3 linked regions of the Kluyveromyces lactis genome follow. The protein of the gene in region 3 binds, or shares a complex with, the protein of the main gene of each other region. Links are inferred from orthologs where the notes say so. Each region holds a gene or a part of one and is shown on either strand. Other genes may lie near its edges. The genes, in order: ATP16, KLLA0_F05511g and ATP3.

Region 1 (5,613 bases), on a different chromosome or scaffold from region 3:
TATAATTCATCGATGGCTCTTTTTTTCTTTGATATAGCGGACGAAGTCTCATCAGAAACGATAAGAATTGAGTCCGATGGTCCTCCTTTCACTTCAGAATCGTTTAATTCGGCATCAGCATCTATGAGAACCTTCTTAACATTGATAAAGGCTTTATTCCTTGGTGCCCTCTTCTTTACTGCTCTAGGTGGTATGTATGCCTCTGCTTGCTCTTGATGCTCTGGTTCTGTGTCCTTTGGCAGCCCTAGATCAAAGTCTAAGAGTGTATCATCATGCAATGAGTGAGTAATATCAGCCCTTCTCCCGATCTCTACAGACATGTCGCTACCATGGCTAGACTGATTACCAGAAATATTCTGATCATCATCGTTTAATCCCAAATCCCAATCATCGTTAAGTGGTAGCAATTCATCATCATCGTCATTGTCATTTCTAATAGTCAAATCACCTTCATTTTCTCCATCATCCGCGTTTACTTCACTAGCAGTAACACGAGTCCCTTCACCCCATGATTTAGTGTTATTGCTTTGATTAGAATCACCAAGGTCAAAATCTAATTTCAAATGAGATGAATCGTGATGTTCAATAGCATTCAAGTCATCATCTTCATCTGCCAGGAATCGCCTTCCAACTTCTAAGGACATATCCCATGCTTGTTGTTGTGCTGCAATGGCGGATGTTACAGGTGCTGCTCCTTGCACTTGTCTTTCCATTGATCGTTCAGCGATCAAAAAACCTTCTGGCACTTGGATATCTTTCAAGAAATCCAAACTGGGCATCTCCAAGACGTCAAGTTCTGTAACCGCATCTTGCAATAAAAGCTGATCTAACTTTGCCACTGTATCTAGCTGAATTGTGACGCTCTTGTTCAGCGATCCCTTGAAGATAGATTTCACTTTACTCAGTAAGTCTGTGATATCAGTAAGCAGATAGGATGCTTTTTGAGAATAAACTTTTACAACACCATGTAGTAACTCACCGGAAGCACGTAATGTGATAGGTTCCACAGATTCATCATCTAGATTAACACCTGCAGCTTTGGCAATCTCTTCAACAGATTCCACGATATTAGTCTTTGCAATGTTCCGATTGATGCTACTCAAATTGGAAGCCAGCCAGATCTGAGCCAACGGCCCATTGCTTGTATTTAATCTCACCTGAGTATGTGAATTGCTATTTGGTGGCATATACGTTGTTTATTTTTGGATTAGGTGATATAAGGCTCGTGGTTCCTGTTGCAAATGGTATAGCAAATGGATATAAACTTAAGATCGAGATTAGAACTTGATCTTATAAGGAATGGTTAGCAAAATAAAAATGAAATAAAATAGCACTGTGTCTTTTTTCAGAGGTCACGACATTAAAATTCCATAGGTAATATATATATTTGATAAAATTATTGGTAAAGGTGCAATCAATATGATGGAATAGACATACTTCTCATCCAGTGTTTATCAATGATATTTGTTAAAGGATTGCTGGTTATAGATCTCATCACGGAAACGCGTTATGGAGAAAAATCGCGAAAATATTTTTGGGGGAAAACAATGTCTTTTTCTGGGACCTCAAAAGATTTCCCGCCGGAAAAATTTCGATTTCGTGGTATAAAATCCGGGTAACAAGTGAGGACCTTATACCCATTTATTACCCTGCCTTTCTAACTCTTGTTGATGCCAAAACCAGATCATCTCTCTCAGTATGCGCAGTCAGTTTAATCGGTATATATGAATATGAATCTTAAAACTAGACATCAGTTACACACAAATCGTTTCTGCTAAAAAATATAAAATCTAAGTCTTTCAATTCGGTTCTTAATTGATAATATTTTTAACGGGGATAGACAAATTATAATCGATCCAGTGTTTTCTTTGATATTGTTAGAAAGGAAGGAATAGTATATTGAAGAAAGATTTATGTTTGTTGGTCATTAAAACAAAGACTAGAACCCCCTTTTGAAACGGAATCGAGACATCACTTGTATCAACCTCCATATCATTTAGAATTTTTAGGTTTTATCGTATTTATTTCTTCTGATTTCTTTTAATTCGCTGGGTTTTAATTCGTTGTATATTTTAGTAATAGTCGTTTTAGGTTAATTCTCAATAGTTCCCAGTCTTATTCGTACGTTCACACTACAGTATTGTATGGAAAGAAAGGACAATGACCGGAGCAACAAAAAAGGGTCTTTAGGCTAAATCATGAAATGTATTCGTCGTTGTGTTGTGTAAGCTTGTGCAATGGAATAATAGGAATTAGAATAATGAAAAAAAAGCAGACGAAGGATAATACAAACGCCGAGACAGGTTTACAATCAACCGGGAAAACAATTGCTTCCAAGTAGAGTATCCGTATCAAGTGTATTATACCTTGGTCCAATTGTAATTCTTCGTTCATCTCAATTATTTCAAAGCGGCTTGCAAAGCTTCCAAAACTTCAAGTTGGATAGCAGCTTCGGCAGCAGCAACTTCGTCAGCAGAGGAGACGTTCTTTTGAGCTTCAGCCAACAGAGATCTAACGTTTTCTGGAGAGAAAGACTCTAATGGGAATGCTTCAACGGAAGTGATAGCCAAGGTAGAGTCTGGTTGGACAGTAGCGAAACCACCGGAAACAAAGAACTTCTTAGAAGAAGAACCTTCCAAGACTTCAACAACACCTGGAACCAATTGTTCAACAGTTGGAACGTGGTTAGCCAAGATACCGATTTGACCAGACTTAGCTGGCAAGTTGACTTGGGTAACTGGAGTACCAGAAAACAAGGTTTGATGTGGCAAAGCAAATTGCAACTTCAAAGCACCATCGGCAGCTTCAGCATAAGTACGCTTAGCAACAACGGTGTTGACAGATTTGGCCAAAGTTCTAGCAGCAGATAAACGGAACATTATAGGTGATTATTTTCTGGTAATGTGTTCTTATGATTTCGATTCTGGACAAGAAGCAATTAAAACAGACTGTAATGAATTCAATTGAAACAAAATCTAATAACACTAAACAAAGATCAAAATACAAAAGTCTAAGAAGGAACAACAGTAGTCCAACAAGAACAGTTCTAGTAAAACCTTATTCACAAATATCGTAAAGCTGTAATTAAAACTAAAATCCCATTCTTTTCATTTTCAAAAATCCTAATTGAGGCCTTGGAAAACTGAAAACTGAAAAAGTTGATGCACTCGAGAAGAGGTGTTTTCAAGCCTGTGAAACGTCAATGGCTTTGCTGAAAAGACCGTTGAGGGACACCTAGCTCTAGTGTAGTCGTGAAATGAGTGTATATACGTGACACCTGTTTGCAGTACTTTTTGTAGCACGTAGTAGATATGATGTATGAAGCTAGGGGTCCCTGATTGATAAAATGTATGTTGTTACCCTGTCGAATATGGCCATTTCCATCGTTTTGATTGGCTCATGATTTTCTTTAAACCACTATTCAATGAAATGTATAATGAACGATTCATCATAATCACTTATCCGCATCGTACATGATACAGGACTGCTCCCAGAACCCTGGATGGTCAGACGTCTTACGGTCCTAAACACGTCAGTTTCATAATGGTACCTAAGACTGGTGTTTCTGACAGACAGGAGAACAAGTTGACGCAATATTTCGATGATATACTTCGACTTTCAGCTGATTTGTTAACTCAACAGCAATTGAAAACTATTAAACTAGATCCCAAGGTGACGACAGGGTTTTCAAAGGCTCAGCAGAAAGGACTAGGTGATAGAATAACGCAGTTTTACTCGCTTCTTGATACTTTAGACGTTTCATTACAAACAACGGCGGATTACGTTGGGGCAGTGAAAGATAGCGCATTGCAGTTGAAGAAACAGAGAGAGGAAGAACAGATCAAGAAACAAGAACAAGAAAAGTTAGAGAGACAGTTATTGGAACAGCAGAAATTAGAACAGCAGCAATTAGAGCAAAAACAATTGAAACAGAAACAGCAACAACAGCAGCAACAACAACAGCAACAGCAACAGCAACAGCCACAGGAACAACAACATGAACAGCAGCAGAGATACTCCGCTAAGAACACCCCAATAGACATGCTAACAAACTTTGATACTGATCTACCGTCTGCTGGAATTACTCAAGCCCAGTCTTTCAACTCCGAGTTTGGTGATTTAAACGGCATGGATCTTTCTATGTTTGACTCAATGGATAACCAGGTAGGTTTTGGCGGGTTACAAAACACATCTGGTGGAAACGAGAAAAAGAATGATCCTCAAATAAATTTCAATGATACAAATGCACCACCTTCTGCAGTAAACGTTCCTGAAAATGGCAATCCAAGTAGTTATCTAACGTTGAACGATTTCAACGACCTCGGCATTGATTGGAATGCGGCTAACGACAATAATGAATTGAATTTGGAAGATTTTAACATATGATGTTTGTCATACCTCGGTATGACATGAATTAACCGTAGGTCTAATATAATACCGTTATTGCTTTCTAATGCTCTATTCTGCATGGAGTAATTGGTCAATGAACTACGCAACTCCTTTCAATTGATTTCTAAAAAAGAGCTCTGCTTCAAAGAAGAACGTATTATCTAGGAAGATATGTATATGCTTATATATATATATATATATATATATATATATATCTATAATTTTATACAACTGCATTAACATCGAAAACTGACTTCAGTTCTCCTGCGAAGTATCCAAAAATATTACCATTACGGTCACATTATCTGTGGTTCCATTCTCAAGAGCATATCTTACTAATACTCTTGCTGCTTCATTGGGATTATTTATGTCTTTTATCATCTCACACGCCTCATGGTCCTCTATCACATCCCACAACCCATCGCATGCAATAATTAAGAACTGATCACTCGTTGTAATCTCAACACTTGTCGTAAATGGATTTGCCACTACCAATGAATCAAAAAACTTATCACCAAGTGATCTGGTAACAGCCAGCATCCCATTGACTCTGCTCTTCATTATTAAACCACCCGCATTTTCAACACGCTGCAGCTCCAGAATATCCGAAGCCTTGTGATCATATGTCAATCGTATACTGTTGCCATTCCTGAAAAGTACCACTCTTGTATCTCCAACGTTCGCTGTATATAACATCCTCTTATGTTGTTGTAAATTTATCGTTTCGTCCTCACTGGGCACTGTGGTATCAGGTATTTCCCATCTCAACACGCAGACGGCTGCAGTGCAACCGCTATTCCCCTTCAATGCATTGTTAATCTCATTATCTGCATGCACAAACGAGTCATTCAAAACATCCCTCAGATCACGGGCCTCATCCTCTAATATTTTCTGTTCCAAGTATCTGTGTAAGTTCGCTCCACACCATTTAGAAGCCTCACTTCCTACATGTCCATCAAAGATAGCAAAATAACCCCAATCTAGCCTTGATGCAAAATTCTCAACGTATGTATGAACATCTTCCATCGTTTTCCGAAACTTGGAGTTGTTATTTTCGGCCACCCCAACCTTATACGTCAATTCGTATTCCGGAGAGTCTGACATGACTTCTAAAAGCAACTCGATATATCCAAGGGTTCTTTAAATGACTTCAATGAATAAAACTAACGTCCAGTGACCTCAGAAAAAAATTGACACGCCTTGAACCCTCACAAATACCAATAA
Region 2 (5,657 bases), on a different chromosome or scaffold from region 3:
CAAAATATGCTCTGTTTATTAGTGTAGTATGTCCCAACTGCCAGTATTTTTGCCAATGTGTTTCTAATATTTCTTCATGATGACGATACCTGTGGTAAGTAATAGATTAATATGACGCTAAAAGGAAATTCGAGGGAGGGAGGAATGCTCCTTGAGAAAATGTGTTGAATTGTTTTATTTGTTTTTTATATTTTGACGTTTAATCGAACAAACCGAAACCCATGTCATCGTCAGATTCTTCCTTTTCAGATTCTGGAGCTTCTTCAGCAGCAGCTTCAGAGTCACCAGAAGCAGCACCGGCACCAGCAGCTGGAGCAGCTGGACCAGCGGCGTGGAAACCGGACAAGATTTCCTTGATGTCCTTACCTTCCAAAGCCTTAGCGAAGGTTTCAGCCCACACGTTGTCGATAGAGGCACCGGCAGCCTTGGTCAAAGTCAACAAGTTGTCGGCAGTGACATCCAAACCGGCATCAGCCAAGATCAAAGAGGCGTAAGAAATAACAGCGTCAGACATTGCTAGTTAGGTATGATGTGTATATGTGGATCTATAGCAAAATCGCAACAACAAGCAATTGAACCTCAACAAACAACCTAACTACAACTTATCAATAAATACGTGTTGTATAATTAAACGTTCAATATCTTATTGAAATCTAGCTAGTTTTCCAGTGAAAAATATTATTCGGTGAAAATTCAGAAAATCTGGAAAACTGAACAAGATTTGAAGTTTTGTTGATCCAAAAACGACAACAAGGGAGGGTAAGTTTACACAGAAGAAGATGTACAAGACAACGCCATAGATGTAAGAGACACTAAAACACTTAAAACAGGAACAGCTACGTGTTGCCAATCGTCAGAATATCCCATAGCACGGGTTTCAACTACCACCGGCCCCAAAAAGTGTTGTCAAGCTCGGTAGAAATACAATATAATTTATGCGTATCTCAGGGCAGAACTGTCAATATGGGTGTAGTGTATGGGTGTTAAGTGGGATTTATTTCCATTAATGGAAAAAACAGAATATATTATAATGAGAAATTTAAAGTGAGATGACTGGGTTTTACACACAATCATGACAGCACCATATGAACAGTCCCGAGCTACATATTATAACATGCAAAAGTGATAATAAAAAAAGGATAATTTTTTCTCCGATACCGGGAGTCGAACCCGGGTCTCCACGGTGAGAGCGTGGTGTGATAGCCGTTACACTATATCGGATTACTAATTTTAGATATCTCAATAGGACTGAACTCACTTCCCCACGAAAGGGTAACTTCTACTAAGTTACTGTAAATAATATCTTTCCTTCAATTCAGTGTTTCCCTTGGATCACTGTGAAGCAACCTACGAAAGGTTAGGACTGACTGTTCATTCCATTGTGTAATCCTGAGTGAAATTGATTTCTAATTATAGTATAATGAATGTTAATATATTAAAATTGAATTACATGATTATAGTTTTGTTTTTAATCTCATTTTCAATATTACCAAAAACTTTACGTGTGGTGTCAGCGCATACGCGAGCCAATACGCATATACTCAACGCTTCCATAAGAAAGAACTGTAAAACGGCGAAGATGAACAAGTAAACACTTCTTCCTTGAGCGCTTACCAACGGGCGTTTTTAAGCTGACATGATAGATAAAAAAAAAATCTGTATCCATTTTCTTGGTTTTCATAATTTCGTCAATAATAAAATTCTCAATTTGACTGCGTAGAAAAAAACATTAACTACGATTGGGTTGATCTCATTAATCAACAGACAGCTTAGTTGATCGAATTGTAGAATATTTTAAAGGTTTTTTTCTTTGAAAAAGGGCGTTTAATGAATTGGGTTTGGATTTTGTATGGAGTATAATGACAAATAACAAAAAAAAATAAAGGTAATAATAAGAATTAGATCCGACAGAGACAACGCAGCTTAGCGATTAACTCCATATTTTGAAACAAACGTCAGTTTTATTGTTTGAAGAATCAGCTGGTCATTTCTAAAGGCTTTTTATCGAACAAAAAGGGCTCCTTATTTGGTAATGTTGTCCAATTTCTCTTCCAAGTTATCGATTTTCTTTTGTTGTTGCTTCAATTGTTCTCTCAATTGAGCCAATTGTTCCTTTTCGTGTTGCTTGACATAGAAATCTTCTTGTGCCTTTTCTCTCTTAGTGAAAGCATCAGAAGAGCCATCTGATCTGGTAGAACCGACAGAACCTTCAGAAGAAGAGTACATTCTGAGAGCAGCTGGTTGAACCTTGGAGGCACGGGTCAAAATGGAACGGGTGGAACGAGATAGCATTGTTTGTTATGGTTTTGTGTATTCTTTGTTAAAACTTTTTATCTAGTCTAACTGTAACTGACGCAAATTATGTGATCAATCCTTCAGTTCCGGGCCCACTTCGTTAAGACATGTGTGTTTCAAGGGGAACTAGGTTCTTCTTTTCCTTTTATATTTTTTCCCATTTTTTTGGTGAAACTTTTTGACAAAAAAAAATGTGTGTGAAAAAGAGAACACTAAAGAACCTGATTGGTTAGGGAGGCTTGAATTTAGTGATGGAAGAATGGCGTTATATATGATGAAAGTAGTGACATAGTGTCAAGTCTCCTTCCGGACCCTTAATAATGTCTTGTCGGTTGCGGTGGATTCGGGCTCCCATTTAGTTACTGTTAGTATTTATTAGTGTCTCATGTCAGAACTGGGGTCTTTCTTTTTGAACGGAATATGTCCTGCTTCCCGGCTTATTCCATCTGTTTTTACTCCAGAGAAAATACATCAAAAGAAATGAGAGTAAGCATATATACCAGCCGTCTGTTATCTGCACAAGTTTTTATTTCTTGCGGCCTGTGTTTGAGCGCCTTTTATTGTGCGTGTCAGATTGAGTTACTATAATAAATTACTAAGATACTTAATATATGGATGAGAGAAATGTAGTTTGACATAAACGTGAATAAAAGCAAGGTACTTGGTGGAACGAGGCAAAAAGAAGAAGTTACACTTGTCTTATGAGCTTTCTAGTACTTTTATGTTTATTTCCTTTCTTAAGGTTTACTCTACCTTGGTTTTCTTGTTGGATGGCTCTTGGATATCAATGTCATTGACGTCGTTGTCATCTCTTCTTACAGCTCTCAATTGCGGCGTAGATACTTCAGCATGGAAGTCCTTGATGATGGAGTCGACATCATCGATATTTAGGGGTCTGATGTCACCAAGCTTCTTAATCTTAGCGGTAACTTCTTTGACTTGATCATCTGTCAAGTTCAAGTTTAATTGATCAACACGTGACTTGATAGCGTTCCAACCGGTAAGCCTGTTAGCGAAATGGATGTATCTCTTCATACCGAAATCGTGAGGGTCCAAGATTTCGTATGTAGATGGGTTAGCCAAGATGGCCTTAGCATGAATACCAGCTTTATGTGTGAAGGCACAGAATCCTGTAATTGGGTTGTTGAATGGGATATTTACCTCCACGGCTTCAGCAATCAAGTTTTCGATATCTCTGATCTTATGCAATTTGTACTTAGATTTGGTGTACTCTGGAGCTGCAACAATCATTCTAGCCATTAGCCCACCTAGAGGAGTGATACCATTTCTCTCACCGATACCTAATACAGCGACATCGATAAGTCTTGCACCACCTTCTAATGCTGTGTAAGCGTTTGCAATAGCACAACCGGTGTCGTTGTGGAAATGGCATTCGATATCACATGAAACCACACTCTTCAATGTTCTGACCAATTCGTAAACTTGTCTTGGATTAGCACATCCGACGGTATCAGCAATACCAACTCTGTTAACACCAATCTTATCGACAGTCTTGTAAATGTTTAGCAAATCGACCAAATCCGATCTGAAAGAATCCTCAGAAGAGAATCTGATTTCAATACCCTTGGATTTGACAAATTCAATGACTTCAATAGCAGACTTGGCAATGTAATTCATGTCCTTACCGTGAGAATATTGTCTCAAAAACTTGGAAGTACCGATAACAACATCAACACCATCAACACCAGTTTCTACTGCCACTCTAGCATCGTCCATGTGACAACGGATATGGGTCAAAATCTTTGCCTTCAATCCAAGCTTGCAAATGGCTTCACAATCTCTTCTAGATTGTTCAGATGCGACAGGAGAAGTAAGTTCAATATAATCAACACCAAAGTCATCTAGGGCCTTGGCAATCTCGATCTTCTTTTCAGTATCGAAAAAGGCGTTGGCAAATTGTTCACCTTCTCTTAATGTAGAATCGATCAACTGATAGTTGTTAACATTTGATAAATAATCAGCTGGGTTTGGACCGTATGGATTTTGTTGAAATTTTGTCACACTTGATGCAGATTCAGTCACTGGTTGGAAATCCTGATTGCTACTCATGATTTGTTATTGTCTATCGCTAGTTTATCTACTTTTTTTGCTCTTCAAATGGAAATATTCTCCTATTCTGCCTTATAATACTCTAAGAGAAATGAAATGAATGTAATCCAAATATATATATATATAGTATAATATATAGCTCCAATAAAAAATAATATCACAAAAATATTATTAAGTTGTAACAAGAATCGATCACACAAACAAAACAGTCGAACCTGAGAGCATATAAACTAGACAAAGAAACACCTGCCATCAAATGTAGAGCAGTTCCTTTTTTTTTTTTCAGACTCATTCATGTCATCGAAACTGCCTTGATATGGCTTGACTCATCTGAAATCTGAATTTTTTCTTTCCCATAATTGAAATATGGTCAATGAAAAGAAATATGGTAAAATTCCCACTCAATTTCGAGCTAAAGTCTAATCATGACCAATTTTCGTGAATATTCCTGTGGATTTTAAATCCGATGAACGTAGATTTTTGCAGCAGGTATTGACAAACACCTTCCGAATGATGCTAAGGTAGTCACTGAGAGTAGTGAGAGCAGCAAGAGAGCAGAGAGGGCTACCCAAGCATTTAGGTTTGGCTATTGAGTAATGAATAGTATACTCGTCGGTCCTTTCATGATGTCTCTCTTTTTTTCTTGGGAATATTCATGCTTGAAAATATGGGGCCCAAGGTTGACCTTTGGTCGAATGGTCGAATGGTTGCGAAATATATGTTGATACATATACATTTCTTATACATATGTATGGCGAAGTAAAAGGTGGATAAAAAAGTGAGCGTTTACGCTAGATATTCATAGCATTCACCGTCGTCTGTCCTTTTCAAATACTCTTGTTCTATTAGATTGTCGACAGCTTTTTTGATCATGGACACCTTGGCGTTGAATCTCTGTTGAGATTCGGCAATACACTCGTTCATCAATGAACTGTGTGGTAGTTTTCTCTTTGCCTTCATAATTCTCACTATGCATGCTCTTAAGAACATCAATCTTTGTTGATTTAGTTCCTTTTCTGCTTTCTTTTGCTCAGATGCCTCTGTTTCATCTAATGCAGATCCATTAACGGTTGCAGTAAAGGTTAGATCATTTTTCACAGCGGCTGCAAAATTAACACTAGTTTTCGATAATCGATAGGGTTTGTTTAAGGTGTACTTTGTATCTAACTTGATCATACTTTCCACCCCTTCTGGAGATTGTATTAATAGTTTCATCTTCACAAACGGATACATATTAGACGCAATCTGTGTAGCCTTCAAATTGGTTCTCTCTTGTATTTGTTCAAAGGTCA
Region 3 (6,175 bases):
TAACATACACCCGAGGGTTTCCGTCTCATGAAAGCTTCTTTGACCACCAATTCTTGTAATTTTGTGTTGACACTAGTTGATCCAGATCCTTGATTGGAATTACCCTTAAAAACCTCTCCTCCGTCAAAAGAACGAGACGACAAAAATGAATCTATTGGAGCACTAGAAGGCGAGTTTGAAGTCGACCGGGATGAAGAATATTGTTGATACAGTGAATTGGGTATAATATGCTTGTTGTCATCTAGCACTACTTCCGGTAGTGTAGAAATCCCTTCTTTGATGTCTTCCATTCGTGACAAGAATGTAGGTGATGCTAATCTATTACATGAGCTTCTAGATTGGTCATTAAGTGTTCTCTCATTCCTCAGATCATTACTGGAAATATGCGAGTTGTCATTAGAGGTATTAGTATTATTATTCGCTTTGAACTTGGTTGTATTGTTAACTATTTCTTCTAAGAAATCTTCCTTCGTGTGGAAATGCTGTCTGACGTTCAATACACCGATGTATCTTGGCATGAATTGAAGAAGTTCTTGATGCTCCTTTTCTATGGTTTCGTACCAGTTATTTTCTGTATTAACCAAAGCTTTGCAGACGGCTCTTTCACTGAATTTAAAGATAGCAGTGTGCCCTCCAACTTTGTTCGTGAAAGGTTTCAATTCCACCGCCAAGGGGAAATCACCGTGTTCTTCAACATCGTCGTCATCATCATCGTCAGCGATAGCACTTTCATCAGGAATTGTCTTAGAATTGAAACTTGGTATCTTATTTTCAATTCTCAGCGGTTCATCGTGCCGTTGTTGTTCTAAAGCTGTATTAGTTAACTTCCTTGGATATTCTTCATCCTTGTGATTTCTCGCAGCACCGATATGAATAGGGGGCACCACTACATCCGGGCCAAAGAGATTGACACTTGTCTTATCTTTCTCATCAATTATAGAGATATCTTTATAACTGGATAAAATGTGACGATCTTCATCTGTTAAGTAGATAGCGGACGCGGAAGTTTTTGGTTCTAATGCAACACCTTCTGTCGCATCCACATCTTCCAGCTCATGTAAATCTGTCAAATCTGTCGACTTAGTATTTTTCAAAACAGGTCGTTGGTCTACGCTGACCTTCATAAACGATTTAGGACCATGCGCGATCTCTGTCTCATTTGAGTTTGAATTAGATTTGGAGCCTAAGCCACCACCAGAATACTTCCTTAGGCTTTGATCAGGAATCGAGACATCTGAGTCTTTATCATCGAACACTCTCAAGTAATTAGCTGCTTTTCTACCATGAATTACAGAACTCTTCCTGTTCCTACTAGACTGCTGCTGTTGCAGCTGCTGGTTCTGACCACTAATTTGGGGTGAAGGATGCCGTTGTTTGTTACAACTATCGTCCATACTTAAATCCTGCAAGTGAGCCGCAACCAGAGTGGTCTGTTGTGCGGCATTTTCATTAGAGCCATGCCGTTGTACTTGCATCTGTTGCTGTTGCTGTTGCTGCTGCTGCAGGCCATTAACCTCTTGCTCCATGTGTTTATAAAACAGCCTGTAACAAAGGATTGGAAAACCAAAATAATAACAAAAAAAAGAGTCCTGTTACAAGAGATAAGAGAAGCGCAGATGAGAATGAAATCACAGAATAATATGAATACAGTACTGGCTTTCTTTGGCTCACCTGGCAAACAGCGCGAACCGATAATTGGGCCAGATTGAGGATATATCTATTAAGATGAATTGAAAGATTGTTTTTCTTTATTGATATATTAGATCAAGAAGCTTTAAAAAAAAAAATTATAACGAAAGACTGAATACTGATTAAATTGAACATGGAATAGATATCGAGATAGAAATTGAACAGATACTAAATGTCTGATGTTCACTATTTCTAAATGATGTTTCAACTGCAGGTGGCCCTAATTTCTGACATGCGAATGTCAAGATATGACATAACGTCCAGCAGCACCTGCACGCTACACTCTTCCTTTTTCAGTAACGGTAGTTTAAATTCATTTTATGTAGACAGAATATAGAGATGAGAGAGAATAAATAAAAGGTTTGCGTCAAGGTGAAAAGAGGGGAGGAGCAGTCTTTGCATGTGGGGGATCTGAACCCATGTGTGTAATGGTTTTAAATTGAAGATTGTGCCTTATTATAACCATCAAAATTTCCTTTTTTTTCCCCCTGCCTGGCATGCCTTTTTGAGTTGTAATAATAAGGGAAACGGAAGCATGTGGTGAGCATCCTTGCATGCACCATCAAATTATGTTTTTTTCAAACATCCAAATTAATATGCTCGCGTGGCGTAATGGCAACGCGTCTGACTTCTAATCAGAAGATTGTGGGTTCGACCCCCACCGTGAGTGCTTTCTTTGGATTTTACCACATCCGCGATAGTTTAATGGTTAGAATTCGCGCTTGTCGCGTGCGAGATCGGGGTTCAATTCCCCGTCGCGGAGAATTTTTATTTTTTTGACCCTAGCTGTCGTTACATCACGTGACTTTCCGCCAATGATACCATGGAATACATAACAAGTCCGGGTAAGACCGCTATATTCTCACAGAAATCAAAAATTTATTGCTGGACTCGTATATGATGATCCATATAATGGCGTTCCATCTTCAAAGATACACAGAGCCCCTTCAATTAGAGTATATATCTGGCCATATAAGCTGACTCTCTCACTCCATAACCGCAGCATTCTACTCAAGACTAGCTACAAATAACCTATACTATCCCACCCTATTCTCTCCTGGCTTCTGCCCCCCGTCTTTCTCCCTTTATACCTCGAATTTCACGACCCGGTGTGAAATTCCCAATCTTCGAAATAATTTTCAAACATATCGATTTCGAGGTTTTTTAACTCTTTTACTATTACAAGTGTGTATTTTGAATAATTTGATTAACGTTCCACACGGTGAATACTTGAATTGTATTTGCATTGAGTTGACCAGTCTACCTTTTCAACTGTTCTCTTTGTTCAACCCCGCAAGCCCAACGTAAGAAATATACATTCGAATAACAATGTTTGTGAGAAACACTGCATCCGTTGTACGTGGTACTTCCAGAAACTATGCAACCTTGAGAGAAATCGAAACCAGATTGAAGTCTATCAAGAACATCGAAAAGATCACCAAGACCATGAAGATCGTTGCTTCTACCAGATTGTCCAAGGCTGAAAGAGCTAAGAACAGTGCTAAGGAGTATGCCTTGGCCGATGCTGCTTTCTACAAGAACGCAGAAACTGTTCCATTGGAAGATGCTGAAAAGAAAGATTTGATCATTGCCATCACTTCTGATAAAGGTTTGTGTGGTTCTATTCACTCTCAATTGGCCAAGGCTGTTAGACTTCAATTGAAGCAAACTCCAAACGCTGATGTTGTTGCCATCGGTGACAAGGTTAAGGGTCAATTGCTAAGAACCAACTCTGACAACCTCAAGTTCGCTTTCAATGGTGTTGGTAAGGAAGCTCCAACTTTTGAAGAAACTTCTTTGATTGCTAACAAGATCTTGGAAGGTGGTGCTTCCAATTACAAGAAGGTTTCGATCTTCTGGAACGACCCTATCTCTTCTTTGTCCTTCGAACCTTCTAACAAGCCAGTCTTCAACGCTGCTGCCATTGAACAATCTCCTTCTTTCTCCAAGTTCGAAATCGATGCTGACAACAACGTTTCTCAAGATTTGTTCGAATTCACTTTATCCAACGAAATCTTGGCTGCCATGGCTGAAGGTTATGCTGCTGAAGTCTCTGCTAGAAGAAACGCTATGGATAACGCTTCCAAGAACGCCGGTGACATGATTAACAGTTACTCCATCTTATACAACAGAACCAGACAAGCCGTTATCACCAACGAGTTGGTTGATATTATTACTGGTGCTTCTTCTTTGGATTAAACGTAATATGAAGAAAAGAATACTTTTAATTTATCACTAAATTAGCTGGAAAGAGTTAAACAGGAACCTTCATACTGAAGAGGAAAGAGCATCCTCATCCCCTCTACAATCGCAGTTCCTTATCACCCTTTCTGCCTCTTTTTTTTTCTAAACTTACACCTATTTTCCACCTCTATCAATGAAAATGATATATTATTTGGTATTATAATGTTAAACTATCATTGGGTTTCCTTAAATTATCATTCTAAGACATCATTTCTATATTTTATGATTATGAATTGAAGAACTTAACAACAATTAAAAAAACTACTTTGAGATTTATTTCACTAAATATCTCTCTCAGAGGGCTATGAAGACGTTTACGCCTTTACATTTCCAAATGGCGATAAAGAATTATTATAAGAAACTAATATTGGCCTCTTTCAAGGTTCTACTCATATCGCACATATTGTTTTGAGCCACTTCCAATGAAGGCAATTGTTCGATCGAGTGTCAAGTTTACATATTCGGACTTTCGCATTTCATTCAACAACACTCTCGTCTGGCCTCAGATTTCTACTGTATACTGCCATTATCACTACGTATGTACCATATTTGTATGACTCTTTTAAAACAGATATATTCAATGCGAATCCCCCTTCGCCTCTCCTATGTATTATGAGGTTGCATTGGCGCATGTCTTCTGTCATTCATAGTCGATTCAGGTCTGTTTCATATCTGTATCACTGTTAAAAAACACTGAAACACTTGAATACTGGAACAAGATTATCAGATATGATGCAGTATTATTTCAGTTCATTAAACGTATATAACCAGATGCATTCATATTGCAAACTTTCAATGAGCTTTTAGTTTCAATTTACTTTCTAGTACAGTTAGGTGTAACTTAGCATCCTTCAACAAAACACTGATAAATACAAAATCATTATGTTTCTACCATTCACCTTATTCTATAAGCTAGGAAAACGTATTCCTAGGGTGCTGGTGTTAATTACTTCTTTTATTTCAGTATTTTTATTGGTATTTTTATTAGTGGGTTGTTACAACGTCGATCAGAGTTCAACGTATTTGGTGAAATATCAATTCAACGATAAATCTCCCCTATATCCAGTCATTTCAAATCAGTTCAGTTCACAGGAATATACTGATGGATTAGAAAACGTTCAAATATTTTCAGGGTATATGGGGATATGTATCAATAACATCCCATCGAATTATGACAGAAACTCCTCGAGCAAATCGTCTAAGGTTTGTTTCAACAGGAAGAAGGTAGATGACATGGACATATTTGACGATTTGACGATTAAGATTTTCAGTTTCAAGAATTCCAACTCCACAGAAGAATCAGAGTCCAGTAATTTAAATATATTGGAGTTAGCTCACCAAAATTCTGACGAACTGGTGCATCCTTATTTATTGATGGTTGTTACCATTTTCACAATTTTGTTGTTTGGAATCACAGTATATGCAATCATACCTAAATTGCCATTTAAAAATTACGTGCAGTTTATTATCATGGGTTTATCTGCATTGATCACCTTGTTATGGGCTATTGGTGCCATATGGACTCACGTTGCCATAAATTGCAATGTATCCCTAATTCCAAGAGCATCGATGAATATAATGACAGCAGAAAAAGGAAGTAAATCACAGGCTCTGTCATGGACTGCATTTACATTCATGCTCATAGACTGCTTGATAATGTGGATGGTATACTTTAGAGATAGAAAGAAGCTCGACGAGAAGCTGGATGACGTTAAGTCAACCAAAAACCCGTTCTCGAATAAATACGCATCAGATACAACTTTAAGCAGTGTATGATAGAAGCCAACGCAGCCATTGCACTTCCTAATATTATATGCACTTTGCGAATGATTATATCGTATTTTAAAGATGTGTTTCTGGTCCCAACGTTATTATAAGTTTGCAGTTTCTTTATATCTTTATTTAAATGTATGTTGAATGAATTTCCAAGTTTCTATAAATTCTCATAAGTTCGAATTCATATATCTACAAAACTAACTGGATAAAAAAGGGAAGCAATTTAACAGTATCCAAACCAATCTTAGAAGCAATTGTTACCGTTTGAGTAAAGGTTTTATAGACTGAACTGTTCAACCGTCGTTAGCACGCTTTTACTAGCGAAGACAATGTCAGATCACAACAATTTCGCCAGTACTCAGCTGCTTTTCTTAATATTCCGAACAATAGTACGGTTTATTTTAATCCCATGCAAACTGGTTACGTCTCTACTACGGAAGCTGTTCCCAGCAGGGATAATGAATCG

What was found.
Region 1: the proteins of ATP3 (region 3) and ATP16 are in contact, whole or in part, in a crystal structure (PDB 3FKS), measured with the Saccharomyces cerevisiae proteins. The link is inferred for Kluyveromyces lactis from reciprocal best matches to the Saccharomyces cerevisiae genes ATP3 and ATP16. Residues at the interface, in NP_009595.1 of Saccharomyces cerevisiae: Ala70, Ser73, Ala74, Lys76, Met77, Glu79, Ala80, Glu81, Leu83, Phe84, Asn87, Phe173, Lys229, Phe230, Glu231, Ile232, Ala236, Asn237, Val238, Asp241, Leu242, Tyr245, Leu252; in NP_010280.1 of Saccharomyces cerevisiae: Gln35, Ala37, Leu38, Pro39, His40, Glu41, Thr42, Ser45, Lys57, Val68, Pro69, Thr70, Val71, Gln73, Gly94, Gly95, Phe96, Thr98, Val99, Gln100, Pro101, Asp102, Gln104, Cys106, Thr108, Ala109, Ile110.
Region 2: the proteins of ATP3 (region 3) and KLLA0_F05511g are in contact, whole or in part, in a crystal structure (PDB 3ZIA), measured with the Saccharomyces cerevisiae proteins. The link is inferred for Kluyveromyces lactis from reciprocal best matches to the Saccharomyces cerevisiae genes ATP3 and INH1. Residues at the interface, in NP_009595.1 of Saccharomyces cerevisiae: Met41, Arg42, Lys44, Ser45, Asn48, Ile49; in NP_010100.1 of Saccharomyces cerevisiae: Ser23, Ser26, Thr27, Arg31, Asp37, Phe39.

Annotation. Positions count from the first base shown.
Region 1 is NC_006042.1:1,363,768-1,369,380, reverse strand, and holds ATP16 (F1F0 ATP synthase subunit delta), read right to left. Parts: upstream 2,880-5,613; coding exon 2,400-2,879; downstream 1-2,399. Other genes in the region: MCD1 (kleisin alpha), read right to left, coding at 1-1,187; MED2 (Med2p), read left to right, coding at 3,544-4,386; type 2C protein phosphatase PTC1, read right to left, coding at 4,645-5,493. UniProt on the Saccharomyces cerevisiae protein: Mitochondrial membrane ATP synthase (F(1)F(0) ATP synthase or Complex V) produces ATP from ADP in the presence of a proton gradient across the membrane which is generated by electron transport complexes of the respiratory chain.
Region 2 is NC_006042.1:539,854-545,510, reverse strand, and holds KLLA0_F05511g (ATPase-binding protein), read right to left. Parts: upstream 2,293-5,657; coding exon 2,023-2,292; downstream 1-2,022. Other genes in the region: RPP1B (ribosomal protein P1 beta), read right to left, coding at 200-514; homocitrate synthase LYS21, read right to left, coding at 3,040-4,365; cullin CDC53, read right to left, coding at 5,152-5,657. UniProt on the Saccharomyces cerevisiae protein: Endogenous ATPase inhibitor, which inhibits specifically the reverse ATPase reaction of mitochondrial F(1)F(0)-type ATP synthase.
Region 3 is NC_006038.1:602,045-608,219, reverse strand, and holds ATP3 (F1F0 ATP synthase subunit gamma), read left to right. Parts: upstream 1-3,018; coding exon 3,019-3,888; downstream 3,889-6,175. Other genes in the region: inositol polyphosphate kinase KCS1, read right to left, coding at 1-1,526; FIG1 (Fig1p), read left to right, coding at 4,816-5,709; long-chain fatty acid transporter FAT1, read left to right, coding at 6,039-6,175. UniProt on the Saccharomyces cerevisiae protein: Mitochondrial membrane ATP synthase (F(1)F(0) ATP synthase or Complex V) produces ATP from ADP in the presence of a proton gradient across the membrane which is generated by electron transport complexes of the respiratory chain.